Linked DNA regions of Pelodiscus sinensis. The protein of the gene in region 1 purifies or fractionates together with the protein of each later gene. This does not show direct contact. Links are inferred from orthologs where the notes say so. Each region holds a gene or a part of one and is shown on either strand. Other genes may lie near its edges.

The links.
Region 2: the proteins of SNX33 (region 1) and DNM2 purify together in Homo sapiens (co-immunoprecipitation; 3 studies listed by BioGRID and IntAct, with this or other methods). This does not show direct contact. The link is inferred for Pelodiscus sinensis from reciprocal best matches to the Homo sapiens genes SNX33 and DNM2.

The regions. Positions count from the first base shown.
Region 1 is NC_134724.1:34,382,827-34,397,816, forward strand, and holds the start of SNX33 (sorting nexin-33), read right to left. Parts: upstream 10,091-14,990; 5' UTR 8,252-10,090; coding exon 6,817-8,251; intron 1-6,816. UniProt on the Homo sapiens protein: Plays a role in the reorganization of the cytoskeleton, endocytosis and cellular vesicle trafficking via its interactions with membranes, WASL, DNM1 and DNM2. Acts both during interphase and at the end of mitotic cell divisions.
Region 2 is NW_027465894.1:170,598-185,363, reverse strand, and holds the start of DNM2 (dynamin-2), read right to left. Parts: upstream 7,445-14,766; 5' UTR 7,348-7,444; coding exon 7,187-7,347; intron 1-7,186. UniProt on the Homo sapiens protein: Catalyzes the hydrolysis of GTP and utilizes this energy to mediate vesicle scission at plasma membrane during endocytosis and filament remodeling at many actin structures during organization of the actin cytoskeleton.

The DNA.
Region 1 (14,990 bases):
GACTTTAAAACCAGCTGCTCGAGCAGCCAGGGGTTTTGGGGTGGGGGGGAGTGGTGTTTGACCTTTGATAGTGAAATGGCCAATGAGCTGAACCCCCAGAATGGACTGGCACTCCCAGAGGGGAAACTGAGGCGGGGTGCGTGCAGCACAGGGGGCAAGTGACATGTTGGCTCCCAGATCCCTCACAGTTTGAGATGTGTTCGGTGCCTAAAGATCATTTCCAACTTGCTCTCAATCAAGAGCAAAAATTATCTGCAAGGTCCTAGTCTATTCAGACACATATAGGGAAATCCTCCCTTTGTTTCCAATGAGCCCGGAAGGGATCCTGGAAAGGAGAACGGCGGCTCCGGGGCTGTATGGTTTGGCCTTGTTTCTCTGCCTTTGTTACTGTTTGTAAATGCTCTGTGAATGAGATTTTGTGTGCATGAATGTAAGCAGACCGGGTGCTCTTGCTGTAAATACATGGGAACCGGGACATTAGTCGTTCTCTGATAGTTACGTGCTGTGCTCCTGAGTAAGACGATGTTTCAGTCGTTCTGATCAGGGGAGCAGAAACATTCCCATGTGACCAAACACCATGTTTAGTCAAAAAGAACAAGCTACGAATAAGCCATTTTTGCACAGCCTGTTCAATGAATCCCCACTCACAAATGGATGTGAAAAATATAAGCAAGTTTAGGAAGAGAATAAAAAGAGTAAATTTGCAGTGAACTCTAGGCCTAACTCTCCCCTGTCTTGCGCACAGTGAGTGTAATGCAGAGCAGAATAGGAACCAGAGTTTATGTTTTGTAGGAAATTCCACAATTTCAACTTTTTCCCCTTTCTAAAATAGCCAGCAAACAAAATATTTCCTGTGAAACAAAATCAGCCTCCACCCCAAATTAGTTTGGAGTTGACTGAAATGTTTCCTTTTGATGCAATTTCAACCATTTACATTTTAAAATGTTTGTTTTTTTATACGAAAAACGGTGAATTTTTTTTCAGAATAAAAAACTGAAGTGATCCATTTGGGAAAGGACAAAATGAGAAGTTTCAACGTCATGGAGAAGCTTCATATCATTTCTTTCTAAAAAACATTTGTCAAAATGACACATTTTTTAAACCGTCAATTTCAACCAAAATGGCCAACTTTGTAATAAAAAATTTTTTAAAAACCATTATGATTAAAAATTTCCAACCACCTGTGGTGTAAAGTGTTTCACACTCACTTTGCAATGGGATAGCTTACTGCAAACCAGAAGTCAGACCCATTCTTAGCCATGAACAATTCAACCGAGCCTTGATTTTAAAATGCAATGATAGCAAAGTAGTGATAGAAATGTAGCCGTGTTAATCTGGGGTAGCTGAAGCAAAATGCAGGACAATGTAGCACTTTAAAGACTAACAAGATGGTTTATTAGATGATGAGCTTTCGTGGGCCAGACCCACTTCCTCAGATCAAAATGATAGCAAAGGATATTGCTGTATGCAAGGCAAGTCAAAATGGGCTTCGCAAGGGACTTTATTATTTAGATCACTAGAGTTCCTGATCAGGCCCCCATTGTGCTAGGGACTGTACATTCATATAACAAAAAGTCAGCTCCTGCCCAAATGAGCTGACTGTCAACTAGCTACTTCAAAGGCAGATACAAGAGTCCTTTTTCAACTTCACTTTATTAGTTCTGTCCTCAGATGCTAGACAGAACTTTTCCCATTCTGGTTACTGACTTTTAAGCTTTGCCTATCTTAGAATGTTGAATCATGTAGCACTGTTGAATTGATCATCAATGTACTTAAGCTATATAAAGCTTCATTCATATGCAGAAGTGTACCAGTTTAACTGAGGCCTTGTCCACGTGCAGAAGTTGCAATAGTTTCACTGAAATCAATTTTCAAACTGATTTAAGTGAGCACAAACCTCTGTGTGAACCCTCATATTAAAGTGGCTCATTTTGAGTTATCTTAAATCATTGACTGGAGCTAAATTAAAATAACCCTGGTTTACACCAAAATGAGAGCATCCGCATAGCCTTTTGCATCCGTTTAACTATATTGGTTTAAAATACACCATAAGTTCAATTGCTGCAACTTTCTCATGCAGACAAGCTCTAACATAAGTATTAACGCAAATGATGGTGCTAAATGTATGTCTGATTCACACTCAGCCTCAGGGAGGATTAAAGGAAAATGATGCAGACTGAGAAATGGGTCCGAAGGTCAGAATGAGCTGTAAAAGGAGTCACGACCAGGAACACTTTTTGTGGAGTAACTGATTTGGCAATTACTGGAACAGGGCCAGACCGAGACATTCCAGCATCCCGGACAGACAGTTTAATTGCGCCCCAGGTTGGGGGAGGGCGCATGCGCAGCCCCGCCCCCACCTGGCATGTGGGGGAGGGCGCACGTGCCCGGCCATGCCCAGCCCGGCTACCGCCGCTGGCGCGCAGTCTGGGGCTGGCCGAGCCTGGCCGCACAGGGCCCTGCGGCCGCGGGTGGAAGGGAGCTGCTGGCCAGCACTGCGGGGTTTAACGCGACCCCTGTCCCGGGTGGCCGCTGCAGGGTGGCCTCTGGGAGCTGCTGCAGCCCGCAATCCAGGAGCCGGGCATGCGGCGCCTGATGGCAGCTATAAGGGGCACTGTGCGCCCCTTACAGCTGCCATCAGGAGCCCCCCACAGGTTGGCGCCCCGGGCAGCTGCCCGGCTAGCCCATGCCTTAATCCAGCCATGTACTGGAAATGAACTAGCTCAAGATACACCAACAACAGTCCCAATCTAGAGAAGGCTTTGAGTCAGTAGTTGGTGCTCGTGGGAAAAGCTGTTTCAATTTTGTTTTTTAATTCTGTGAGAAGGAATTCTGCTCTCTGTCTGCATCATTCCTCTCCCTCATTCTTGAGCTCCAAGTCTATTTGCATGAAAACAGGATCTCTCCTTTCTAAGAGCTTCTATCCAGGCCGGCTGCACCTGACCCAAAGTTAGAGTTCTCTGTTTGTGACAGAACAATAGGCTCTGGAGGAAGTTAACAACATGATGTCACAAACAGAGGATTATGACTCCTGGTCATGGTTACAGCCCCAAGCCTCACCCAGTTAGATTCTAGGCCTACTTTCACACAAAAGTCCTTAGTAATAAGAATGAGTGGAAAGAAATATAGAACATCTTACAAGGAAGGAGGCATACATTTCTCCTTGGGGCATGTGCCAGCAATGTCCCTCTGCGATATATATTGGACAAACTGGTCAGTCACTTCATCAGAGAATCAGCGCTCACAGATCATACATCAGAAATCTACACTCAGAAACCTGTCAGCCAGCATTTTAATTAAATTGGCCATTCCCTTAAAGACCTGACAACATGCGTCTTACTACAAAGAGACTTTAACACCAGATTAGAGAGAGAGACTTCAGAACTTTTATTTATGCTAAAATTCGACACATTGTGAGTGGGCCTTAATAAAGATGATAATTACCTTACAGTTACAAACACGGCCTCCCCACCTTTTGATATTCGTAGTAACTCCAGATCAGCCACTTAATTGACTCATACAATAAGGAATTTCCTTCTTCCTTGTCTCTTCCTTGTCCCCTCGCCCCCACCTTCTGTTCTATGTAGCTGATTTGTTAGTTTGTAATTTGTTTACTTTTTTCATTGTATCCCTCTGTTATATAATGGTCATGCCAATTCACTTTCAGAATATGATCTGAGGAAGTGGGTCTGCCCCACAAAAGCTCATCACCTACTAAACCATCTTGTTAGTCTTTAAAGTGCTACATGACTGCTTTTTTTGTTTTACCAAGATCAGACTAACACGGCTACCTCTCTGTTACTTAACCTTGTAGTGTAAGCTAAACCTCAGTTTAAGGGTGGCTCTCAGCATTAGCAGAACACTTCCTCATGAACACATAAGCTTTTCCCTCATTTATCTGTGAGCCAGGTGTGACTCACCTTTACGGTAATAGAAACCGGATTCCGCCCATGAACCGCACCCCTTCTGTATCTGCTATGGCTTCCTTGATCCATACAATAGCATGGTAGAAAAGCACTTAAGAGACAAGCCTTCCTGCCTGAACTTTCTCACTGGCAAAATATTTGCCCTGGAGTGAAATCAGAGCTGGATCCTTTTGCTAGCTTCCTCCCCTTGGATGGAAATACAAATTGGGGGGGGGGGGGAGGAGAGGGAGGAGTGGCATCCCTGAAGGAAGGCAGAGTCTATGGGTAGATTTTTCTCCAGTCGGAGCTGGTGGCCTGAGCTTTTGGAAATCTCCCCCTCTGTGAAGGACACGGCTGCTTTCTCTTGGGCAGGCGTTTTGTTCCTGCAGCACCTCGACCCGGGCCTCCTGGAGTTTAACAATGCAGTAACTCTTGTTTCTCCACTTGTCCCCACAACACCCAAATGTCTCACTTTCCCCAGGCCACATATGAGCAGAGGAGGGAGCCTGGGGTGGGCAGTATGACTTCTGGGATTAAAGGGGACTGCCTTTCCCCAAGTGCAGTGCTTTCTAGAGTAAGTCTCCCAAACACACACAGCTCTGCTGCTAGTGAAACACAGACACAAACAGCGTGTTCGGGAATCCAGCATCTCCAGGCCTCTGGCAAGCGGCTTGCTAAGACTTTGGGCTGGCCCTGCCACTCCCAATCTCCTGGTTCTTGGGCACCCTTTCTCTTCTGCTGGGGATAAAACAGGATTCTCCTGCCCAACAGCACAGCCTGGCTCGGCACTGGCAGACTTGGGACAATGCATTTCCAAGACCTCTTCCCCTCTGCTGCTCCGAGGCTCTCTGAGAGGAGCTACCAGAGGCCTGGACTGCCCTAGAAGCAAATGACTACGTAGGGTCAGAACAATCACGTTCCTAGCCACTAGCACAAGGTGATGATGACTGATACTGGCGTCTTAGCAAATGCCTCGTGCTCTGCAGTGGTAGAGGGAGCAGGAGCCTCCAGGGTAGTCGTGGACTGCTCTCTGCAACCAGCAACACCAATACAAATGCATCACATCCGAGTATAGTAGTCCGTGTGGGGAAACAAGGGTTTATCTATCGCTAGATTTCCCTCCCACCCAATACTGGCGAGAGGGAGGATACTTGACCAAGATCTCATTATTTCAATGAAGGAGATAAGAAAGGAGGAGGAACACATTCACGAAAGTTCATTCACGAAAGTTCCTCTCAGGGCTGGGCTCCCCCGCGAGGAACCAATCACAGGGCTGCCAAAATGCACTTGGCTTCCCCTTCTAAGTGTGAGTTGGCAGGAGGAAAATTAGACCTGATGTTATGGTGGAATGCCAAGAAATATAGGGCAGTAAGCAGCATGTCTGGGCCGTGTACGAGGCTGATCCTGGCCCATATTCTGGTCCCAGAGATTCAAATAACCCTCTCCACAGGCAGCAAGTTGTAAGAGACTGAACACCAGGCAGGGAGCAAAAACACTTGAGTTCTGCCACTGACTCACTGTATGGCCTTGGGGAAGTCACTTAGGCCCAAATTTCATAAAGTGTCCTCTAATAACAGCTGTTGCACTCTAGCCTCTACAGCAGGGGTCTCCAACCTTTTTAAGCACGAGATCACTTTCTGAATTTAAGTGCAATCCAAGATCTCTCTCAAATATAAATACCCTTTCCCCACCTCCTTCCCACTCCGCTCTCTCCATTCTCCCTCTCTTGCCCATCCTCACTCACTTTCATCAGGCTGGGGCAAGGGTTGAGGTGCAGGCTTTGGTCTTGGATTAAGGGATCTGGAGTGTGAGAGGGGCTCTGAGCTGCTCTGGGGGCAGGCAGTTGGATGTAGGAGGGGTTCTAGGTGCAGGCTCTGGGACGGCATTTGGGTACAGGGGTGCTCAGGGCTAGGACAAGGGTTTGAGGTGCAGGAGGGGGTTCATGACTGGGGTAGGAGTTGGGGATGTGGGCTCCAGCTGGGCACTGCTGGTGGATCCTGGGTGGTGGTGCAGTGGGGCTAAGGCAGGCTCACCCCTGCTCTGGCCCTGCCCCACTCCCTAAAGCAGCCAGCAAACTCCATCCCAAGTCCTGTTGTGACCCCTCTCTGCTCTGTGGAGAAAGGATAGAGAGTGGGAGAGGGGGCACCCTGACATCAGAACCCCCCGTTTCCCTCCCCCTGCCCTGCACAGAAAGCAGGAGGCTCCCGGGGGAGGAGCAGGGGCAGATCCAAGGCAAAGGGCAGGAGGTGCACAGCAGTGGAGCTAAGAGGCAGCTGAAATTCAGGCACTTGACAGCCTCTTGGCCAAACTAGTCAGGATCACCTGTCAGAAGCTCCAAGATGTACCAGTAGATCCTGATCTACTGGTTGGTGACCGCTGCTCTACAGCAACTTGCAGACTACGGAGCATCCAAAACTCCAGGTGAAGTCTCCAGGGGTAGACACTATCAGGGTCTCTGAAAATCAGGCTCCAGAGCTTCCCAAATTTGGCACCCAGAAAAATGAAGCACCTAAAATTACTGATCTCTGTCAAGCCCTTGGCCCCTAATTTCATTGTTCTAGGGTTGCCCAGCTGTAAACTGAGATGTACAGTTGCCTCCCAGGAGTAACAGGAGGTTGCTTCAGTTCATGTGTGCACAGCACTTTGAAAGGTAGAGCACCATGTAAGCCAAAAGTACCAAGCCACTTCTATAAGAGGCTGCCAGCGTTACCTACTTCGTGTCTTGAGAGGTGACTCCAGATCACCCCCCAAGGAATGAAGCCAGATCCTGCTTCCCCTTCTGGAGCAGGCCATCCCCATGGAACAGCCAAGTGCTCCCTGTCCCAGGAGCGATCTCCCAAGACAGGCTTTGTTGCCTGATCGTGACAGCGCCTGAGACCCAAGACAGCTGCTGCCGCTGGGCGTGGCTTACCTTTCTGAAGGTGAATGATGTCTGGGAAGTTGGAGAGCAGCCCCTGGTACAAGGAGAGAGTGTCCAGCATGAGGAAAAGATCGTTCTTGGGCTGCTCAGCGAACATCTCCCCAACGGTCTCATACGTCCTGCCTGTGTGCGAGATGGCGTTGTTGAGTGGTTCCGAGCTGTAGGGCGGGTCCATCTGGAAGGAGTAGCTGATGGCTTGGAAAGCGTTGCCCAACTTCTGGAACTCCTTCCGGAACCCACCCAGGTGTTTGCGCACTAGCTCCGAGGCCACGTTGGTGAGCTGCAGGACGCTGTCGTCCATCTTCTTGCTGAAGGCCTTGAAGGAGTCCACCCGGTCTTCCACGTCCTGCAGGTCCTGGTGTTCGGTGGGGATCTGGAAGGTCAGCAGGAAGCTGGCCCCCACCATCTCATCCTTCTCTGCCCGCCGCTTGCCCATCTTCCACTGCTTGTCGTCGCGGCAGGTGAGGAAGTGCTGGAAGCCCTCGTATTGGGACAGCACAGGGTGACTGGTCATATGGTCCATCCACAGGATCAGCCTGCGCTTGCGCTTCTCGATGAAGTCCTCCTCAAAGCGCCCAGTGGCCTGCTTCTCAGGCAAGTGGGGAATGGAGATCACCGTGAACTTGTTCAGCAAGCGGTTGTACAGCCAGTCAAAGTGCTTGTAGCGCCTGTAGACCGGTGCGTTGATGCTGCTGGGGGTCAGCTTGTAGGAGATGTAGCTCTTGATGCCCTTGAATTTTGTTTGTTTGGTGGGCTCCTCCACAGAGCAAATGAAAGGATGCGGATTGGGCCTCCACTGGGGGCCCTTGGGGCCCATCTCGATGCTGTAGGTCTCAGCAATCTTGGACATCATGGGCACATCTCCCAGGATAAAGGCTTCCACCCCAGAGCGGACAAAACTGGAGAAGCGGTTGAGGTTCCGTCCCACCACACTGCCCCTCTTCGAGGAACTGATGCTGTCCTGCCTCTCCAAGGCTGGCTTGAGACGATAGCCAGCGTTCTGATGGGGGTATGCTGCAGGGTACTGCAGGTTAGGGGCTGGGTGCCCATTGGTGCCAGGGCTGCCCCGCGGCTCTTCCACCACTGTGCAGCCATCATCCCAATCATCCCAGTCATCATCATCATCATCCTCAAAGCTTCCCTGGTAGGAGGTGGTGATGTTGGGAGGGGGCACATGGAAGGGCTCGTTCCCAGGGGAGCTGGCAGGACTGTTTGAATGGTCCGTATAATTGGAGCTAGACCTGGACCTGAGAATCTCAACGTAAGAGGCAGGAAAGATGCCGGTTTCCCCTCGGCTGTTCTGGCCCTGCAGCCACCCGTCCAGGGAGTTTTCACTGAAGATCACCAGCTCCTCATTCTCCTGGATGCTGATCTCTTCTTTGTTTTCGCTCTGGAAGTTGTAAAGTGCTCTGGCTTTCAAGGCCATGGCTGCACCGGAAGGACTGTGTAACTCAACTCCCCACCAGCACCACTAAAACCACCTCGGCTGTTTCAACAACCAACAGTGATGTGGAAATGAGCTTAGGTGAATCCACCTTGAAGTAATAAAAATATAAATATATATTTGTCTATGATTTTTTAACTTCAAGGCCTATACATTGCAGTTTAAATTCATCAGCGAAAAATGGCATTCCTGGGGCAATCAAACATGTTTTGCACACTCCATTAGGTGATATATGCCTCAGTCAGACGGACACACATCCATAAGGTTGTCAGCTCCATCTGGTGCGGTCCACCTTCCCATACAAATCAAAAATACCCCCAAATAATCTTGATAAAATGCAAGAAATCAAAAGTCCCTTTTTTGCAAGACTTTTTTAGTAAGGATTAAGAAAAAAAAAGATAAATCTTGACCCATCTTTCAAAAAACATATCAGGTGCAATTCAGAAGCCCAGTGCTTGAAGAGGCCTTACAAAAAAGGCGAAGCAAAACAAAAACACAACCTTAAAATGATCTCAGCACAAATATTTTGCAATTCCTGACGGGGCTGATTTTTTGAAATCCACAAACCTCCGGGGGGAGGGGGAAAAAAGGGAGGGGAGGTTTGGAGGAAACTAAAAAGCCAAAAAGCAATCCAAGATAGAGAGGCGTGACACATTCACTCAGCAATAACAAGAGTCGCCTAAATAAAAAACCTTCTTCGAAAAAGTGAAAAGTTCATGGGAAGTTTAAAACGGAGACAAACCGAGAAGTAGCTGGTTCTTTCAGGACAGGAAATTTTTAAATCACTTTTACCACTGAGAATGGACGGTGCTAACCAAATAAAAAGGGAAGGATTTGCCACTCACCCACCGACACAAAGTTAGACAAACCCTTGAGAAGGGCTGAAAGATTTGAGAGTGGCCTCCATCGATTCAGCCCGAATCCTGTTTGGCAAAGGGGGTTCTTTTGTTGTGATGATTTCCTAGCCAGTTCCTCTCTGTGCCCTGAAACTGAGATAGTCCGAACAACTAATAATCCAGCCGTTTGGAGAAGAAACCAAATGCAACCATCAACAGACGACGTCCATTCCCCTTCCCTTCTGTACCCAGCACAGTGCTTCCCAAACGCTGCACCAGTCTCCAGATCGCAAAAGCAAACGAGTCGGGCCGGGGAGGAAGGGAGCCGCTGGATCCCCCCCTGCAGACTTGGGGGGCAACCAGGTTGAAGTTCCCCAGTCCCCAGGTGTCACAGGGGAGGGAGGGAGGCACGATCCCAGGTTCTCGCGTCCGCAGGCCGAGGAAGGGAGCGGGGAGGGGGAAAAGCAGCCTGAAGAATTCAGCAAAACAGCGGCACTTCCGTTGGGAGAGAGGGCTGGGAAGCCAGGCAGGAGGCGCTCTCTCCAGGCTGGGCTGCGGGGAAAGCTCCCAGGCTGGGACCCAGAAGAGCCACGTGCCCTTTCCAGACCCCCTCCTCCAGGCGCGGGGACCGGCAGCGCAGAGCTCTGCTCCCTTCACTCCATCTTGCCGAGCTGCCGGCCGGGCTCAGAGCCAGTCGCGGCCTCCGCCGTCTTTACGCAGGGCGCTTCGGGAGTCCCAGTCTCTGGGCTCCTCCTCCCGGCTCCGCACGCCCTGGGCCGGCTGGTGCCGGGGGAGTTTCCCCTTGCTTAGTCCTTCCTGCGCCTGCTGTTTGGGGGGACCCGCCGTAAGTTTGGGGGAGTTGCCTTGTGCAGCCTCGGGGTCCCCTTTCCCTGTTTGCTCTGCCCTCCCCCGAACCCCTGGAGTCCTGCGCCCCGCTCCACAGCTGGGTCCCCCTGCCACACTCCAGCCTTTTCCATGACGCAAGGGAGGAGGCGAGGCTCGAAAGTTTGAAAAGCCTTCAGGCGAACCCAGAGCCAGGGAGCGGAGAGCCCAGCTAGGTCACAGGCTGCCCTCTACAGGCAGCCAGCACAGCTGGCCTGGGCAGGAGGGGGAGGCTGGGTTTCTAAGCAATGGGTGACAACTACTGTATCTGATGCACATCTGGGTCAATAATTTATTATTGTTACAATACAAACCTACAGACCACGTGCCTCGATGTTCCTGTCCTGTGCACAGGTACAAGCAGGGAGCAACTCCATTACAATCAATGGAGTCACACCAATGTAAACATGGAGAAGAACCAGGCCCCTGGGGTGGCCTCTTATTTAAACAGCCACCCTGCAAGCTACTCCCCATAAGTGAACGTTTGGCCCCACATGGAGCCCCACTGGAACAGCTTTCAGGATCAGGGTCTTCGATGACAACTCATTGGTGCAAGAAGTATCTGTACTTGGGAGCTTGTGTCATGACTGGCACATTATCCGAGCTTAAACACAGTAATTCATAACAGCTACATTTTCCCAAATGGGGACTGGACACGGGCATCACTATAAATAACTCCAGGGACCTCTGGTGTCACTGTGTGTCTTGTGTGACTGCAGGAACAGAACAGAACACCTGAAGGCCGGAGCGCGTTCTGTTTGGTTTTTGGTTACAGCTGTATTGTTTTGGCTGAATTCAAAAGTTGGTGCATTCGGTGAGACATGTGGCCCTGAATTCAAACCACATGCAGCAGAGCCAGGGAAGCTGCTCCTGCTGACTGCAGGTCTGAATGTGGCCCATGGTGCATGAATTTCTAATAAATTACCTGATAGAACTTTTTTTTAATTGTATCCTTTGGTATATATGGTTGTGACTACTTTCTTCCACTATTTGATCTGAGGAAGTGGGTCTGGCCCACGAAAGCTCATCATCTAATAAACCATCTTGTTAGTCTTTAAAGTGCTACATTGTCCTGCATTTTGCTTCAATAAGTTACCTAACACTGTAAATACAAAAACACAGGGGAAGCGTAGTTTCTCAACTTTCTCATCCACTCATCCTACTTTATATTTAGTAAGTAAACAGAAGTGAAGTCTGTGCCCATCTAGCCAAGAGAAACAGTGTGATCTCTTTAAATCCAATGCCCATGTTTTAATACGCACATTTTCTGGCTTTATTACTTCAGGTGCTAATTGTTTGTTATCACCTTCAATAAGCTTCATTTCTATAGGACGGCCCATGCTGGCTTGTTCACTATGATTTGCATAGAAAGATCATACATGAGATATTTTCATTTCACAGGAAGGTAGCTAACAGATTTCTAGATCTTTTTTTGCTCCCAAACTTCAATCCTGACAGCTTTAAAGGGCCAGATTCACCATTACCCAGCACCTTGCTGAGTCATTTGCACCCTATTCAAATTTTACATCCATTCTACAGTCATGTAGAATTTTACATCCATTTTACATCCATTCTACAGCCACGCACCAAAATGGATCGGGCCGGCCCTGAATGTGTGAACGTCCCAATCCAACTCTGCTATCTGGTACCAGCCACTTTTACACTGTTTCTAATTTTTGCCTTTCCAGTATGCACTAGAGCAGTGGTCCCCAACCTTTTCAGGTTGTCGGGCGCCAGGGGGCGTGGCCGTTCGCCCGCCGGGCGCCAGGGGGCGGGGACACTTGCCTGCCCGGGGGCGGCCCCCCCAGCCGCATGCCCGGGGCCGGGGCCCCCCCCATAGCCACGCGCCCGGGGCCGGCGCTCCCCCCGTAAGTGCTGCGCGCCCGGGGGCGGGGCCAAGGCTGGGGCCGGCGCCGGGGCACGGGCGGGGCCAAGGCCAGGGCCGGCGCTGGGGCCAGGGCACGCGCGGCGCCCCCGGGGGCGGGGCCAAGGCCAGGGCCGGCGCTGGGGCCAGGGCACGCGCGGCGCACCTGGGGCCGGGACCGGCCATGCGCCCGGGGCTGGCACCTGCCGCACGCCCAGGGGCAGGGCCAGCCCAGATTGCTCCGCGGGCGCATGTAAAGAGCCCGGCGGGCGCCATGGCGCCCGCGGGCACCGGGTTGGGGACCACGGCACTAGAGCATGGCTACTCAACTTTGGAAGCCCCAGGGGCCACAATGATACTCACAGCTCATGCTGAGGGCTGTGACTTAAGTGTGGTTGCCTATACATGCAAATATATGCAAATAGCTTTTTTCACACTGACAGGCATGAATACAAAGATTAAGGCAAGACTACACAACACACAGGCCCCATTTAAGTCAGTTCTGCTGATATTAATAAAATGCAATATTTACCCGATTTCCACCCATATGACAGCACTTTTAATGAGCAATGACAGTCCAGGAATTTAACTACTAAAACACATATCCACAGAAGACCATTATATTAACTACTTTTTTGTTTTGGCTCCCACCACAGGTCGTACGTTACGCCCCTGTGTAAACCCAAACCATACCACGGGCCTCAAACAAATGAGTGGCAGGCCACATGTTGAGTAGCCCTGCACTAGAAGGCCAGGATTGCATTTGCTGTGTATTTTTCCTCCACTGCAAAGCAGCATATGTCTGTGGCCCTGTGTATAGGTAAGGTACACAAGGGGAAACTGACTTCTGTCTCCTTAATTCCAAACTCCTGTTTGTGGAGAGGCCTGGCAGAGAAAATTCACTTTAATCATGTCTCATTTAACTTGGACATTTATTATTAATCAGAATGATTATTTGATGAGTTCCTCTTCTGTGAAACCTGGGGCACGTCACCGTCTCCTGTTCCCTTAAGAGTTTACAGCCTATGGGCCAGATCCTGAATGTTCTTATGCCCAGGAGCAGCCTCACTGACTTCAATGGGAGAACTTGCAGAAGCAAAGTTCCTGAAGGGATTAAGCATCTGCAGGAGGATCATACTGTGTATGAAGTGAGCCGGCGAGGGAGCACACAAAGGATGCCAGCCCGGGGTATGATGAGGTCTGGATCCTGCACATCATAGGAAGCATGGGGGTGGAAGAATTAGACATCGTGTTTATTTCCAAGCTTGTTCTCCCAGCTGTGACTCTGCGGGGACGGAGGGAGGCCTGGCAGGGGAGGGGCCGAAGCTGGCTGCGGGCTGGAGCCCTCGGGACACGGGGAAGCGCAAGAAGCACGAAACCAGGGACCTGCCCGCCCCGCGCGTCAGAGCGCGCCCGCCAAGCCCAGGCGCGGGGCTGATCGCGCTCGGCCCGGCCCGGCGGGAGGCGCCTGCAGGGAGGCCCCGGCTCGGCCCCAGCAGCCCCGCGCGGGCGGGCCCCGGTGACGCGGGAACTCCCCAGCCCGCGCGGCCTGGGCCTGGGCCTGCCCGTGGCGGCTCCGCAGCGGCGGGGCGGGGCCGGGAGCGCCGGGCAGGAGGCCACTCCCCGGCCGGACGCAGCACGCGGCGGCGGGAGCGCGGCCCGGTGAGCGGAGCTTCGGGCGGGGCCGGGCCGGGCTCTGCTGTCCTGCGCCCCCCCCGCCCCATCGCACCCCCTCCCTCCGCGCCCCAAAGCCCCCCCGCCCCATCGCACCCCCCCGGCGCCCCATCGCGCCCCAAAGCCCCCCCAGCGCCACAAAGCGCCTCCCGCCCCATCGCACCCCCTCCCCCCGGCGCCCCAAAGCCCCCCGGCGCCCCATCGCACCTCCTCCCTCCGCGCCCCAAAGCCCCCCCCCGCCCCATCGCACCCCCCCGGCGCCCCATCGCGCCCCAAAGCACCCCCCCGCCCCATCGCAACCCCTCCCCCCCGGCGCCCCAAAGCAAATCCCTGCCACATCGCGCCCCAAAGCCCCCCCCCCGGCGCCCCAAAGCACCCCCCCGCCCCATCGCAACCCCTCCCCCCCGGCGCCCCAAAGCACCCCCCCGCCCCATCGCAACCCCTCCCCCCCGGCACCCCAAAGCACCCCCCCGCCCCATCGCACCCCCCTACTCGCCTCCCGCCCCATCACACCCCCTCCCCCTGGCGCCCCAAAGCACCCCCTACCCCCGGCGCCCCAAAGCACCCCCCTACTCGCCTCCCGTCCCGTCTCCCAGCCCCCCAAATCCACCCCTCCCCTTCCCTCCCCTTCCCTCCCCTGCTCTCCACCCCCTCCCCCTACACCCCTCTACGCCTCTCCTCTTCTCCCTCCCCCCCACCTCCTGCCCTCCCCACCCATCGCTCCCCACCCCCTTCTCCTACACCCCTCTACGCCTCTCCTCTTCTCCCCCCGCCGCCTGCCCTCCCCACCCATCGCTCACCCCCCTCCCCTGCTGCTTCCATTGCCCCGCTTTCCTTCCCCAGCCTCCCTCTCCCCTAACCTTTGCTGTTCCCTGCCCAGTTCTTCCCCTTCCTCCTGCTCCACTTCTCCCATCACCTCTCTATCCCTCTCCCCCATAGAGCCACATCATGGTCCAGCTAAGTGGCCCGGGCATGGCGGCTCCTGGGTTCTGTTCCCAGCTGTACCTCCTGTGCCCACATTTCCAAATGTTCATTATCCTCCATATTTGAGTTCCTAGTTAAATGGCCCGGTAGCCAGAGGAGCTGAGTACCAAGCATGGCTTCCCACTGAGATCCATGAGAATGGCAGGAGCTTAGCGCCTCTGAAGTCTGCTCACCTTTATATAAGTGCCTGACAGTATTGGCTTTAACCTTAGTCTCTCCCCCTTTCCTGTGATGTGGGAATGCTATTTACTCACCCCCTTGGACCAGTTGGAAGGATTCATATTTGCACACTATTTCGTCAGAGTGAAGCGTTACGTACTGTAATGCTGGTGACAATTCATCATATGGGTCCTGAGCAACCCCGGCCACGGGGCAGCCAGAAGGCCACGTGGCAGGACCTCACAGTCATGGTGGAGCTGTGTGGCAAGATCTAGGTTAAAATAGTGACCCGGATAAGTGCTGGGCTGGAAGATGGGGGAAG
Region 2 (14,766 bases), on another chromosome or scaffold:
ACTAACAGTGTTGATAACATGTTCCGAACAAGACAGAATGGCCACATTGACAATATATTCAAGGAACCAAATGTCAATAGACAGGCCTCCCAACTGTGTGACTCACAATGGTGCCATTGTAGTCCTGGGGCCCAGTGAGCCAAGAATTTACTACAAGTCAATGGTCAAATTTTATGTAGATTGAAATGTCTTTTACAGTTCCATTTGTTAGGATGTCACTGACAGAGTCACTGCAGGGCCAGTGCGGCACATCTGTACGGACACTGTAAGGGTTCCACAGAAGGATTAGTCAATGCACATGTCACTGTGACATCAACAGGATGGTTCGAATCCTGCTAGCAATGCAATGTTAACACACCACTTTCTATTTCCTCCTGTGTTTCTCTCCGTAAGAGAGTTGAAATGACTCCTCTACGGAGAGGTGCATTGCTACTGGCAAGACCGACCCTAGTCAGATTCCCCACATCGTTTTCAGTGGGCATTAAGTGAGCTTCACACTGAAGGCATTTTAAAGATCTGAATCAGATTCAGGGATTAATTTGCAGTTATGTTGGGACTCTGAAGACCTGAGCTCAGTTCCTGCTCTGCCACAGCCTCCTTGGGTGACCTTGGACAAGTCATTTTGTCCTAGCTTCAGTTCCCCCATGGGGAAATCCTTTTGTTTCATCTATTTAGACAGAGAACTTCAGAGAGGCCGTTTTACTGTGACTGCACCGTGCCCAGCACTGCAGGAGTCGCCTCTAGGCTCTATCACAAAATAAATAAGTCACAATGGATTTTGAACAACTAACTTACGTAACCAGGATCCAAAGCTCCTCATTGTGCCACCTCCCTGGTATCTATGGCCAATAAGCAGACTAAACCTCAAGGCGGCTTGCAATTAACCCGAGCAGGTAGAGCCAAGCACACGCCTTGCTGTCTGACCAGGAAGTACAGGAGCTCAGTTGCCCTTATAGCTTGGGAACAGGCACCACTCTCAGAGCAGGATGAAATCTGAAATGTTCTCATTACTGCTATTTCCCAGGCATTTCTCAGGATTGCTTGGTGCCTATTAACTAATTTGCTATGGGCAGTTCTGAACATGAGGTAGCCTGAGGTGTAGTGGTGTCCCTGGAGTCTTGTCCCTTCCTCTGATGCATCTGGAGACAGGATATCAAAACTGCTGGACCATTAGTGATGCTTCCTAGGCAGTAATTTACAATCCATACATTAGCTAACCCACCAATTTATTATGTATTAAGCTAGATCAGAGTGATCAAAACATGCACAATCTTAAAGGGAAATTTACCAGCACTAAATATTTCCATTTACAGGCAAGAGGGTCAGTAGTTTTGTAATAAAAGCTTCCATCCTTTGTAACAACAAAGCAGGTAAATTGGAAAATAAAAGAGATCAAAATATTCCCTTATCTGTATTACTAACATGAGACATTACTCCAATATGCCATGAGGAGAGGCTAAAAAGCACTAAAAAGCACAGTTTCAAAAAAAGTCTAATTTACTTGTGTCTTGCTCACGCTTCAAGTCCAGCTCCCACAAGCCTCACACCACACAGGACTGGTCCACCTTGTTTTCAGCATCAGCTCAGTACTATTATCTGAATGGCAAGTATCCCCCAGAGATGTTGACACTCAAACAAAGACTATTTACATGGACATTTAAGTCATTCCTTTTAAGCGCTGCCCACACTGCTCTTAGGAAAAATGTTTGGTCTTCTATTCAGGTTCTTTCGGGACACACATCCCATGAGACCCAGCACCTGTACCAGTTTAACTTTACACAAACAAGCAAGGCTGCTGACGTAAGTGGGACTCCTGAGTGCTTAAGAGTTGAAAGGTTCTGGCTCACTGCATGGAGGATTGACCGGATGTTTGTAACCCAGTGCTGGTGTAGCCATGTGGACCTGAAGAAGGGTTCAGTGCAAGGTCAAAAGTCCCCCCCCCCCCAAAAGAAACTGGTCCAACAAATATTATCCCCTTCCTTAGTTGCCTTCGCCTTGTTAGCCTCACTATGTTCTCTCTGCATCCCTCCACCAGCTCGCCCCTTTGCTACTGGATCGAAGATAAGCCGCTTGTCTTCACTTGGCCCATCATTCACTAGATGTCAACACCCACCTCACACCTGCCACGCCCGGCTCCCCACGCCCATGCCTTACTTTTCCAAAGAAGCCCCTTCATTTCAAGGGAGGGACCACGTGAGGATTACCTGTCGTGATCCCTCCCTCTGGGGCATCAGGCACTGTCAGCAGCAGGGTACTGGACTGGACGGACCTTTGGTCTGACCCAGTGTAGCTGTTCTTATATTCTTATGTATTCTCTCCAGCTGCCCCTTGTATAAACATCCTGTTTCAAACTCTGCTTTAAGCCTTTGTAGGTATCACAACAATGACGCCGCTGGTATGTGGAAACTCCTGCTTCCTCATTGACCAGTCCTGTCTCATTCCTTTGACTCGTCCATTAGTCTGCCTGTATCCACCTGTCATTTCCTCATACCTGGGAAGCTTTGAGACAAGAACCAGCTTTTTTTGGGAGACAGGAACCAGCAGTACCACTCCCCCCCTTCCCGCTCAGCATAGAGCACCCTGCCCAATGGAGTCCTGGCTCATGGCTGGAGCTCCTCTTGAGGAGTTTAGATCAGCATTTGTTCCACCAAGTCTGACCTGCCCAACCCCAACCCGCCAGGTAAGATTTTCCTGTTGTAACATGTACAGGGTCAAGCATGGTGCCATGCTACAAGCGGAGGGTCCCAGCCTGGCCAGTCAACCCTAATGCTGGGTTAACCGTTTCAGGCAGCTCCAGTTACACCAGCGCCTGTAGTTATAGCTGCGCTCCCTTTTAATCTCATCCCAAACGCTTCTGTAGCGATGAATGGAGAGAACACAGCAGGGGACACTACCCAAGCCATTGTTCTTGCCACACAGCAGGAACTTTTGATCTTGTGGCTTCGAATGTGGAAACCCACCATTGAGCGTGCAGCATTCGACACAGACAGCATAATTACCCTCAATTACGAACAAAAGGGCCCTGCTGCAATACAAAGTTAGAACTAGAAGAGCTGACTGGAAGATTCCAGGTTACCCAAAAAAAAACCTTACAAAGATTTTTGCCTCACGTAAAACCTGCCTAATTCAGACACGTATTGAAAAAGATGCTAGAGATTTTGGTTAACCCCTTATTAAAGGCCTCCTTGCTGAAGGCTTAAAAGCTGTGAAACAAAGATTTTTTTAATTACGGGGCAGGGCTTGCAGCGTCACTGTAATTATAGGCTGCCAGTATATCCACTGGCAGCTTCTGAGGTGGTAATAACTTGACCATGTGGATCCCAACAGTGACAAAGCTTAACTCAACGCATCAGCCCAGGTGCAAGTTTTGTTTTACAAAACTGGATTTCAATTGATCCAGCTGCTTTTTAAAAAACCCATCAATTAGTAAAGATGGAAGCACTGGGCTTCCAATGCCCCCTCCCACAAGCTCTCCGCAAGCTCTCCATCCAGAACACGGCTCAAACCCACATGATAATGAAAGACCAAGATCAGATGCAACATCACAAGGCCCCAGATTCTGATTTAAGACACATGATCATTGTCACCAACCTAGGAAAATTGTAAATAAGTGAAAAGATTCAACTGCAGGATCAAAACACTGGAAAATTCCTTGTTCTTCCCCCCCCCTCCCCCCAACAGAAAGAATAAATGACTAGTCTGAGATCATTATGATTAAGAGGCTAAAGTATCCAAAAATGTAGGGAAAACAGCCCAGCCTGAGTCAAACCGAACACTGCTCTTTGGAAACAGACAAGGCACAACTTCTACTCAAGCCCAGGCATTACAGAAGAGGCAGGGAGTGGAAATGCAGGACTAAGTGCGCACAGTCTACATTAGGGATGGGAAAGGTTGGGCAGTTCCAGCTAGCCAGTGAGGGCTTTAGCAGCTCCAGCCCTGCAGGGAACCCACCATGGTCAGGGGCTGCTCTGGAGGGGCTGGGAGCAGGAGCCCCATGGCCTGGGGGCTGTTCCCACCAGACTTAGTAGGTTAACCAGTTAAGTATTAGGTTAACCTAACATTTAATCGGTTGACTGGTTAGACGTGAAGAATCCAGGGTTAATCTACATATCAAGAACTCAATACAGCATCTGCTGTATGCCAAACGGGGCCCCGCCTTGCTGTGCGCTTTAGAAACATATCAAGTAGTCATCCTTGCCCAAAAGGCCTTACATCGCCTAAAACAGAACTAAGGGTGGGAGCTGAACAAGCCAGAGACAAAATGACTTGCCCAAGGTCACCTGGCAGATCAGTGGCAAAGCAAGAACTAGACCCATGGCCTCCTAACTCCCAGTTCAGTGCCTTATCCACTGGGCCATGCTGCTTCCCACAGTGCCTCAACCTTTATTAAAGCTATTCCCCATCCAATACTATGAGGCACTACCGGAGAGACAGATTCCAGATATACCCAGTTAGATTGTCCTGTTCTACCAAAGATATCCTACAAGTAGCAAAAGTCACGCATTAGTTACCAACCTTTTACCCGCATCCTTTAAGCTAGGACAAGCTGTAGAAAAGGCAGAAATTCAACACACTGAAAACTTAGGTCAGCCTGAGACAAGACAGACCCTTATAAGTGACCTTGCTCCCCAGGTCACAGGGGTTAAGCACCACAAAAGCAGAAACAATTAAAAGGGACTCGAGTCACACCAGAAGAAATAAGCCTTTAAAAACCCAAAGCTTTAGTGGACTCTACAGTCCACTTGTGCAGTAGCTACCCTGTCACCACACTACCTTGTGACTGACACCTCACCTCAGCCTCTCCCCCTTATCTAGCAAGCCCACTTGCTGCAGCTTGTCTTCGAATGCACTCTCCCAGAGCAGGGACTGGATCCTGCAGACAGATCCATGAAGGGTGGGACCGAGGCAGGAGCCTAATGATCCACACTAAGGATATAATAGAGCAGTTGACTAGTCGGTTATCCGACAAGCAGGTCCTTATTGGTTAATGTATCAACTACACGCAACATTCCTCTCCCCATATATTTTTTAGCAGGCTGGCTCAGTCGCAGCATTAACCCCCTGCACTGGTTCTTAGTGCTTATAGTGCAGAGCCACAGTGGGGGTTGATGCCAGGTCCCAGCATAAGCCGGGACTGAGCCAGCCTGCCTGCACACTGGCTCTTCGTGCCAGGCCCCAGCATCAACCCCTGCTGTGGCTCTGCAGTACAAGCGCTTGTAGTGCAGAGCCACAGCGGGGGTAGTGGCCGGAGCCAGCAGGAGCCAGGAGCGAGTGGTAGCAGTGTTACTCCTTACTGATTAATCATGTAGTTGACAAAACGTTTGTCCACTACACAATTAACCAATTACATGCTTCTTAACATCCCTAATCCATCCAGGTACACAATTTCCAGGTCCTGGTTTGTACAGCACCAGCAGAAAAGGACCCCATTTGAATTAAGATCATCATGGGCATTATTGCCATGGGAACAGCAAAAGGCTAGGACTCTGCTATAAGTCTAAGATTAACTTGAATGAAGAACAGGTTCCAGTTTCTAGAATTACGCTCTGGAACCTTGTCAGCTGCTCTGACAAAACTGTCCTCCCCACCTTGCAGACACTTGTTCTCCTGTAGATCCTTGTACCACTTTTTAAAGAGTCCTGAAAATTGTGATTAAGGAATTCAAAGATGCTGACATCTACCCCCACTAATCTGCAAGTTAAGTGCCATTAATGAAACAACAACCAAAGCTGTTCTGTTAAAGCATCACACAGAGCTTGACTTCAGCTCGAGCGATCAATACAAAAAAACCTCACACATGCATTCCACAATTCACTAACAATCCAGGTTATTCTTAGACCATTGAAACAAAATGCTGACCGAACCCAGCCTGACTACAGAAGCACTTTCTTTTTCACAGGATCATTTTTCAGCAGATTCTAAAGTCCATCTCCGCTCCATTTCCCACTGGTTTGGAAAACTATCACTGAAACAGGGATCATCACTTGAAATTAAATAGCCCATGCAGTACCACAAGTGCAGATCCAGTGTGCTCCGGGTATACCAGAACATTTGTATAAAGTACAGTTAGCTGGATCAAGTGGCACACTGGCTCCTACCAGTGCAGATTAAAGATCTTCCTCCTTGGAGTTTAAGGAATTAAAACAAATACTAGAACAACCCTCTACACCAGCTGGCCCACTCTGCTCATATCCTGCATCTTAACAGATCCCACCAGGCATGACAAACCACTTCCCCAATTCTTATCCCATTGAAGTGGGTGGAAGACGGTTTATGCAGAAGACAAACAGGAATTACCTAAGTCTTCTCTCTCTCAGGGTAACATACAGCTCGCCAGTGTAAAAACGGAACTGGAGAAGGTAAGGGATTTGGAGACAGAAACAAGAGAGGCCATGGCACCTGAGACCTTATGAAAAGCTCCACAGGGTCTATCAGGAATATATAGACTAGACAAGAGCTCAGCTTCTGCTGCAGTAGCTGGCAGTTCCCAAGAAGGTGCAGGGGGAGGGGGGAGTTAGCAGCAAACAGCCTCCTCCTAGCCAAAGTGCCAGTCCCAGCACCTTGCACCTGCAAGGCTCAGCCCCAGGGACCCTTCGGCAGGAACAGGGTGGCAGCAAGTGGGGCAGCGGCCTCTCGGGAAGGGTGGGAGTCTGCAGCCCTGCCCCCAAGGCTCAGGAGGCCGGCGCGAGCCCCCCCCCCCCCACCAGGCGCAGGATGACAGCTGGGGGGGGGGAGGAGAATCCTGCCCCCCCCAGGAGCCCTGCTCCTTGCGTGGGGGGCACCCCAGAGCAAGTCATGGCTCCTGACGGGGGGAGGGGGGCTCCATGCAGCCTCTGGGGCAGGGGACAACTGGGGGGAGCTGGCCTGTGCCCAGGACTGGGGGACGCGCCTGCTGCCCCACCCCCCTGCTATTCACAGAGCGCTCTACGCCCGCTGCGTCCCGCGGAGAGGCGACCTGGCTACGCCGCCAGCGCGCGCGCCCTACGCCAACTGCGCACGGCCCCGCTCGCGCCAGCGGCGCAGGACCCAGGGCGGCGCGCGCTCGCGAGTGACGCGAAGCGGATTCACAGACCGCGCCTGCGCCAGCCGCGGAGCCGCCCGGCCGCTCCCGTCCCGCCGGCTTACGCAAGCGGCGTAGGCGCGGCCGCGCGCTCCCCCAACGGCAGTACGCGGCGCGCGCGCTCACCGGCCCACGAAGTTCTCGAGCACGGAGCTCTTGCCCGCGCTCTGGCCGCCCACCACGGCGATCTGCGGCAGGTCCAGGTGGCAGCTCTGCCCGATGGAGCTGAACGCGTCCTGCAGCTTGTTGACCAGCGGGATCAGCTCCTCCATGCCCCGGTTCCCCATGGCGGCCGCGGGGCCCGGCTCCGCAACGGCTCCCGGCCCAGCTTCCCCTCACGGGCTCCTCATCCGCCTCCGGCGCCGCTTCACCCCTCCCTGCCCCGCCCCGCGCGGCGGCGCTAGCCAATAGGGACGGCCGTTCCATCAGAGCGGGCGGTGGGTGGAGGGCTGGGCCTCATCGGCGCGTGGCTATTGGTCGCCTGCCCTGTCACTGGCTTCTCCCAACCTATAGCGTTCACGCGTGACCTTGTCAGGAAGGCGGGATATTTAGGTCCCGCCCTAATATCTCCTTTCTGGTTCCTCATTGGAGGAGAAGTCAGTCGCTCTACCTTAGGGTTACGCCCTCTCCGACCCTCACTGCGCCCTGTCTCCATTGGTCAGAACTTTTGTCACTCTGCCACACCATCCATTTCATTGGGAGAGGCGGGACTTTTCGAGGAAAGGCGTGATCAGAATGTCAATCATCATGTCCCTCCTCGTTATTGGTCTCCTGTCCTCTTCCCTCCCCTCCCTCCCCCCGCCGGTACCGTATTCCTTCGTATAGAACGTATCTCAATCGAGTACCTCATTTCTCCGTATAGCAGCACGTTACATTAGCGTATGTCTTCTTAATTTTTTTACCATATATCTCCCTCTAGAAGCTCATGTTACATTACCTTAATTCTCTCTGTTTGGCAGCCCCTTGTCCATACAGAAGCCTACTATGAACCACCCCCCATGGGGTAACATAGCTCTCCTAGCTAGACAAGCTGCCCTCCTATATAGCATATTGCCCAGTTTAGACGCCCACCATTGGGCTACCGTAGTTCCCCATATAGAACCTGTCCAATGCACAGTTCAGCAGCGCCACTGAGAAGGACGCTTATCCTAAATCTCTTGCCCGACTCCAGATAGGTGCCAAAACTGTTTACAAACATTGTCACTTTATATGCATTTTATTTGCATCGCCGTTCTGCCTTGAGACCACACTCATGCTGCTGGAGCCATTTCAGTCTGCCCCCAGCTTCCTGCTACCCCCCACATGCATCCTTGGTAGATTAGCAATAGGAAGATTCCCAGTGGGCGTCGCAGGTAGCCCCTACCCACGATCCAGAAGGGCGCCACGGGGCACCCAAAGGTACAGGATGGTAAACCGAGTCTCAGGCTCTACCCCATTTTCCCACTGGAGGATGCACTAGTGCTGGTATTTTAGCCACTCTCTGCTGCTGCCCATCATCCAAGGTCTCAGGGCACCTTCCGCCCAAAACAGTAGCAAAGCCACTAGGGGATTTCAGGGAGGGTCTGCCATTGTTTCCTTTTTGGGGCCAGGGAGAGAAATTTCTACCTTAAATGATAATGCATTTAAAGGGCTATTGGTCTCAGGAATTTTTGTGGCTGGGGGGGGCGTTATTAAGTAGAAGGAGAGGCTCAGAGCTGGGCACAAGTAGGGTGACAAGATGTCCTGATAATGTCAGGATGGTGCCACTATTAGGGGCTTTGTCTTCTATAAGTGACCTAGAAGCCCCCGCCCCCAGCACCCTGATTTTTCACACATGCGGGCTGGTCACCCTATAGATAAGTGTCAGCCTTAGGGCAGAACGGACAGTTTCCAGCATTCCTAACGCCATCAGACTGGGGCTGGACCTGCTCTCTGCTGGATGTTTGCCTGAAGCCAGTTTCCCCTCCACTGAGCACAGCTCCTGCCTGCTTGGGTACCCTGACTTCAGCTCAGGAAAGTGTCTGCTCAAGCCAGGACGAGGCCAAACTTGCTGAAGGGTTTTTCTGCACAGTGACTTTCCCCACAGGCTCTAGGAGCTGCAGCAGCCCAGCCAAGCTTAACACCCTGGCCACTCACAGTAGGATGGGGTCAGGACCCAAGCCCGGTGCATCAGGCCCGAGAAGTGGCAGCAGAGCGGGAGCTGGTTGGGGAAGGAAGGGCTGTTCTGCACATACAATGCAAGCCCCGGAGAGAAAATCAAGCCAGTTTCCTATAGGACAAGGGGGCAGCCAGCTGGGAGGGGCAGCCCCTTCTCATCCACACCAGAAACCCAAGTCTTAGCAGCAGTGTCCTGGGAATCACATTCCCGATGGCTCCCCCATTCACACGGCCCCAAACTCAGCTACCGCTGAGCAGGCAACTTTCCAGAGCAGCGTGTGCAAGAGTGTGAATCAAAATTGTTGCAACCCCAAGGAAAAGAACCTGGGGGGGAGGGGGGGAGACAATCTCACTGGTTTGTTTCCATAGTCACAAGTGTTTGATTTTGACCGTTTTTTAAAGGTGGCGGGAGGATTTAGCAGAAAGCTTCCCAGCCGGTTTGCCCCAGTAATACCCTCTCAGCCCGCTAGTTCACCCTTGTGCCGCACCTGGGCAGCGCCTTACGCCCACTCCCTAGGGAGTCGGGGAGCAGGACAAACGCTCGGCCATGCCGCAGCCTCACCCCGCTCTGGAGGAAGTTGGGTTGTTGTCACTGCTTTGATCTCGGTTGGGTGCTGGGGCTTCTCAGGGCACAATCCACGGTCCCTTGCACAGGGACTGCACGGTAGTGCTCCCCCAGCACAATTCCTGTGCTCACAACAGAATTAGTGTGTCGTCTTCGAATCGCAACTGAGGCCCCATTGGGGCAGGTGCTGCAGAGACAGAGAAACAAACCATTGACCCTGCCCTGAAGAGCTCGCCAACTAAACAGACCCAGGGTGGGAGGGGAAACTGAGGCACAGAGTGACTGCTCAAGGTCTCCCAACACGTCTGTCCCAAAGCGGGACTAGAACACAGGTCTCCCCCGTTCTTACAAGGCATAGGGCTCATTGATTCTCCTTGGATTTTCCTCGGGTGCTGCTTGGCCTGGCTCTTCTGGTGCCAGGGGGTGCCAGGGGTACAGTGTTTACAGACCGGCACATACGGCCCTGACAGTGAGTGCTAGAGGAGGGAGGTTAATGGCTTCCAGGCGACCAAGGCCCATGGGTGAGACACAAGCTTTCAGGTTCCACAGAGCTCTCCCAGGACCAGGGTCAAGAGGCCCCCCCCCCGGCCGCCAGGACTTACACAGTGATCCTGAAACCATTACAGCCCATGCTTAGTGGAACTGCCCCCAGGTGACTGGGGATGGCAGGGGAAAGGGGTACAAGGAGGCCACCCAGAGGAACAGGGAGGGGGCACCCCTGTAGCAGGGCCATGGGAGATGCTCTTCCAGCATGCTACCAGGAGTCACCTGTGCCCCCCCCCCCAAGCTTCCCAGTAGAAGCAGGTTCTGCCCAGACCAGGAGCCCACAACTCACCCCAGCGCCAGCCCCTACCAGAACAGCTGCCAAACCAGCAGCCACCCCCACCGTGACCCATCCCCCTCCCCCACGCACCGCCAGGGGCCCACACACACCTGGCCCAGCAACACAGCTGAAACCAGACACTGGCGCTGCTCTAACACCGCCTCCCACGGGTGAGCACAGGGCACTGCCCAGGGGCACAAACACCTTCCAGAGAGGAGTCCGGGAGCGAAACGTCGTCATGTGGCTCGACTCTAGAAACCAAGGACTGGAGGCCCCTGGCTGTAACGCTCTGTAACCCACTGCCCCCCACCCCCTTGTGGCCCTGTGACTGCGGGGTGCTAGCGGGCGGGGGTCTGAGGACCTGCATTCGCTCTTTACGCCAGCCCCCTTGGATTGCGCTGGGCTGCCAGGAGCCTTTCCCAACTGCAAAGGGCAGTCAGGTGAGCTCAGGCGCTCGGTCCCCTGAGAGAGCCTTCCCCCGCCCCCACCTCTCAGGGACCCAGCAGCACCTCAAATGCTAGTGAAGAGGCAGTGAAAAGCCAACAGCAGGAGTCTGCTTCTGAGACTAGATCCAGGTACCCAACCGTGGAAGCCGGCAGCAATTTCCCCTCCGGAGAAAGGGCCTCAGCCCGGTGAGTTTGAAAACACCATGGCTCTGTCTAGTCACGGCTTCTTGCGCCAGAAATATGCAAATGAGCCTAAGTGGGGAATATTGCTGAGCCTCATTTGCATACCTAATGAGCCACCATTTTTGCAGAAGAGGCCCTTGCGCCAGGAGCTGTCTACGCTTCCCCTTCGTGCGCAACGCCGTTCTTCCTGAAAAGTAAGCGGCCTTGCGCAAGAGGGTGTTTGTTGCACAACCGGGGCGGTGTAGACAGCTCCTTCTGGCGCAAGGGCCTCTTCTGCAAAAACGGCGGCTCATTAGGTATGCAAATGAGGTGTGGCAATATTCCCCACTTAGCCTCGTTTGTAGACGTAGCCCATGACAACTTTGGGCAAGCTGAGCTGCTTTCAGGAGGGGGTGGGGAAGAGATCTGCTCATTAACTCCCTCTAGAGCCTGCCCTTATCCATGATGCATTTGGGAGCGTGCACGCCCACCCGCCCCGCAACCGGCGAGAGCTCGGACCACCCACTCCGCCAGGCAGCTTCCTCGTCTAGCAAAGCGTGTCGGGGTTTGGTTGTGCCAGGACAACAGGCCCTGCCTGGAATTCAATTGTTTTCTCAAAGGGTCAGGCAGGAGGGTGAGTTATGCTGCAGAATGACCACAGAGGGGCAGAGCTGGGGCCCACTGGGCCAGAAGAGGGACAGCCACTGTCCATTGCAGAGTTTGTCGTCTGTCCCCCCCGCCAGGGGACATGCCCCCTCCTAGCACCTGTGCCCCCTGCAGCGGCCAGGGAGAGGCGCTTCTCCCCTAGCCCCAAGCCGCTGCGCTGAGTGCGGGCCGAGGTTTTCCTCTCTGCCCAGGGCAGCCTGCACCCCTCAGCGCTGATGGAAGTGAAGAAAACCAGCTTCTTAGAGTTAGGGACCCGCCCGAGGCCGGGTAAGACCCTGCTGGTTGTTCTGCGGGTGGCCTTGGTCTCCCATGTCCAGCTCCCTGCTGTACCGCGAGGCTATGGAGTTAGGTTTGTAGCGAGGAGGGCAGCGAAGGGCTGGGTGCCCCATGAAGTAGCAACACCCCACAGTGACAGGCTGCTGCAAACGCTTCCTTTGGGACCAGCAGGCCTGTCAGCCGGCAGCAGCCCAGGGCTGGACCAGCGCCCAGCAGGCCAGGACTGAGCCAGAGCAGCTGCTGCCAGCCTGGCCCGAGAGAGGAAGGCTGCAAGACTGTCCGTTGGTTGTGGGCAGAGGCTGGTTGCGGGGGGCAGATCCACAGCCAAGGCTGCTGCCCGTGAGCAGGTGATGGGGAGATGCCCCCAGCTCTGGGGTAGCCCCAGGAGCACCCCCCAGCACCAGCGAATAGGTTTGATTGCACCCTGAAGCAAGTTGCAGTCGCTTAGCCTACTTGCTCTCATGTGGCCCCCTCTAGTGGCGTAAGTGCCATCGGCTGGGGAAAGCCCCTTAGCCGGCTGGTCCCCGTCACCCCCCTCGACGAGACCCTCCCTCACGCACACCCCCGCCCCTCCAGGCAGGGCTCCAGGGGCAGGAAGAGGGGCAGCCACAGCTCACGTGGAAGAGTTTTATTTGTAAAAATCCAAGCCACTGTGACGTCATCCAGTGCAAGGAAGGGAAGCAAACACGGTTCAGACCCCAGGGTCCAAGTCCCAGCTCTGCCACCGCATCCCTGTGCCTCAGTTTCCCCATCTCCCTCCTGCACCTCACCTAAGGCTCTCCAGACGAGGGACAGTCTTGCTCACTGCGCATCACCCAGTTTAGGAGGCCCAGCCTCTATTGGGGTGCATCAGAGCAACCATGGACACCCACCGAGCTGGCCTGGCCCTCCAGACAAGGGCAGCCCAAAAGAGGTTCCCTGGAGCCAGGAGCCCTCAGTGAATCCCTCCAGTGACCCAGTATCTGCTGCTGGCCATTTGTGCAGAGGACTTCCGGCCTCTGCCCGGTTAGTCACACAGCTGGCTCCCCAGTACAGCCCCTCCCCCCTTGGACACCAGCCATTCCCCGAGGTGAGTCCCCACCCAGCCCGGAGCAAGCTTATCTGCCCCCACGTTGTCATTCCTTGCAGGTCCCTTTGCTAGCCCCTGCCTGGGGCTGCTTCCTGTCCGACTCCGGCTGCATCCAGCACCCCTGGCATGCAGCGTCGCCTGCCTTGGCCTTGCTGCCAGGGACCTTGGCCAGGGGCGCTCGGGGCTGTGCGGCCCGGCTGGCTGTGCCCCGCGGCGAGGGCGACACAGAGCCCCGCAGCCCTGTCACAAGCTGACTGAGCCCTGGGGGGAAGTGGCCAGTGCACAGCGTCTCCATGCTCCTCCTGGGGCTCCTGGAAGAGAAAGAACCATCAGCTCCAGGGCACAGCTTCCAGAATACCTCCTCAGGAATGCACCACTGCCCTCCACTGGATGGCCCCGGAACTGCCCTCCTGTGTCATAGGCCCTATAGCGCCAATAGCTAATGGAGATTCTCCTGGGGCTCAGTGACAGGCGCTTCCCGAAGAGCTCCAGGTCCTATCCTCATGGAGCGCCGCATGTCACAGCACGCAGCCTACAGGCCACCGAGTCCACGTCGATTGTCGGCTGCGTGGAACAAGGCAACGTTTGTCCAGCGCCTAGCGCGACAGAGCGCTGCTCCCAGGCTCCAGCGTAAGGCCAAGTTGGAGCACTGCATGCTGGGAGTCCGTTCCCATGGGCTGGCGCCTGGCTACGCTACATGCAGGTCTAGGAGGAGCCGTCCCCGGCGTGTTACCTGAGGCCCGGAGCGCGCTGGGGGCTCTTGGCGGGCGAGAAGGGGAAGGCCGGCAGGGAGCGACGCTGGCGCGACAGGTAGCTTCTGGGCAGATCGGCGGGCAGCTCCACATCCAGGGGCAGAGCCATCTCTGGGCACGGAGAGGACAGGGACGGATCAGCCCAGCCAGGCATGGGAGGGGCCGAGAGCCGGGTGAGCTGCCCCACCCAGCAGCACTGGCCCAAGTCACCGGTGTAACCCAGGTTCCTGGATTCCAGACCCTCTGCACCCACCCAGGGACACGGGCCCGGAGCCACACAGGCGATAGAGCCCTGGGGCCCCAGCAGGGCGGGGTCCGAATCCCCCTCCATCTCCAACCCCTCCCCCATCCAGCCCGTCTCCCCCGCCAGGCCCTACCACTGCGGATGCGGCTCAGCTCCGGCCCCAGCAGCTTCCCGTCCAGCGTCAGCAGGACGCATTTCTCCACCTTGAGCTCCGGGCTCAGCTGATCCACGGCGCGCAGGCTGGGCCGCTCCAGCGCCTCCCCTCGCAGCATGGCCAGGCGCTCCGAGCGCAGGGCGTGCACCACGCTCATTGCTGGTGGGGGGAGAGCAGGGGTGGCATGGGCCAGCAACCCCCCATCCAACGCCCACCCTCAGGCTACAGCCACGGCCCTTCCAAGTGCGCCAGGGAGAAGGCCCCAAAGCCGGCATGAGCGTGGCAGTGACCCCCACCCACGTGTTGGCCCTTGGTGCTTTACCCAGCCCCACGGCTGGGTCCCAGCTCCCTGTGCTCACCGCATCACAGTGAGCACCACTCCTCGCATGCCCACGTGCTAAGGGACATCGCCC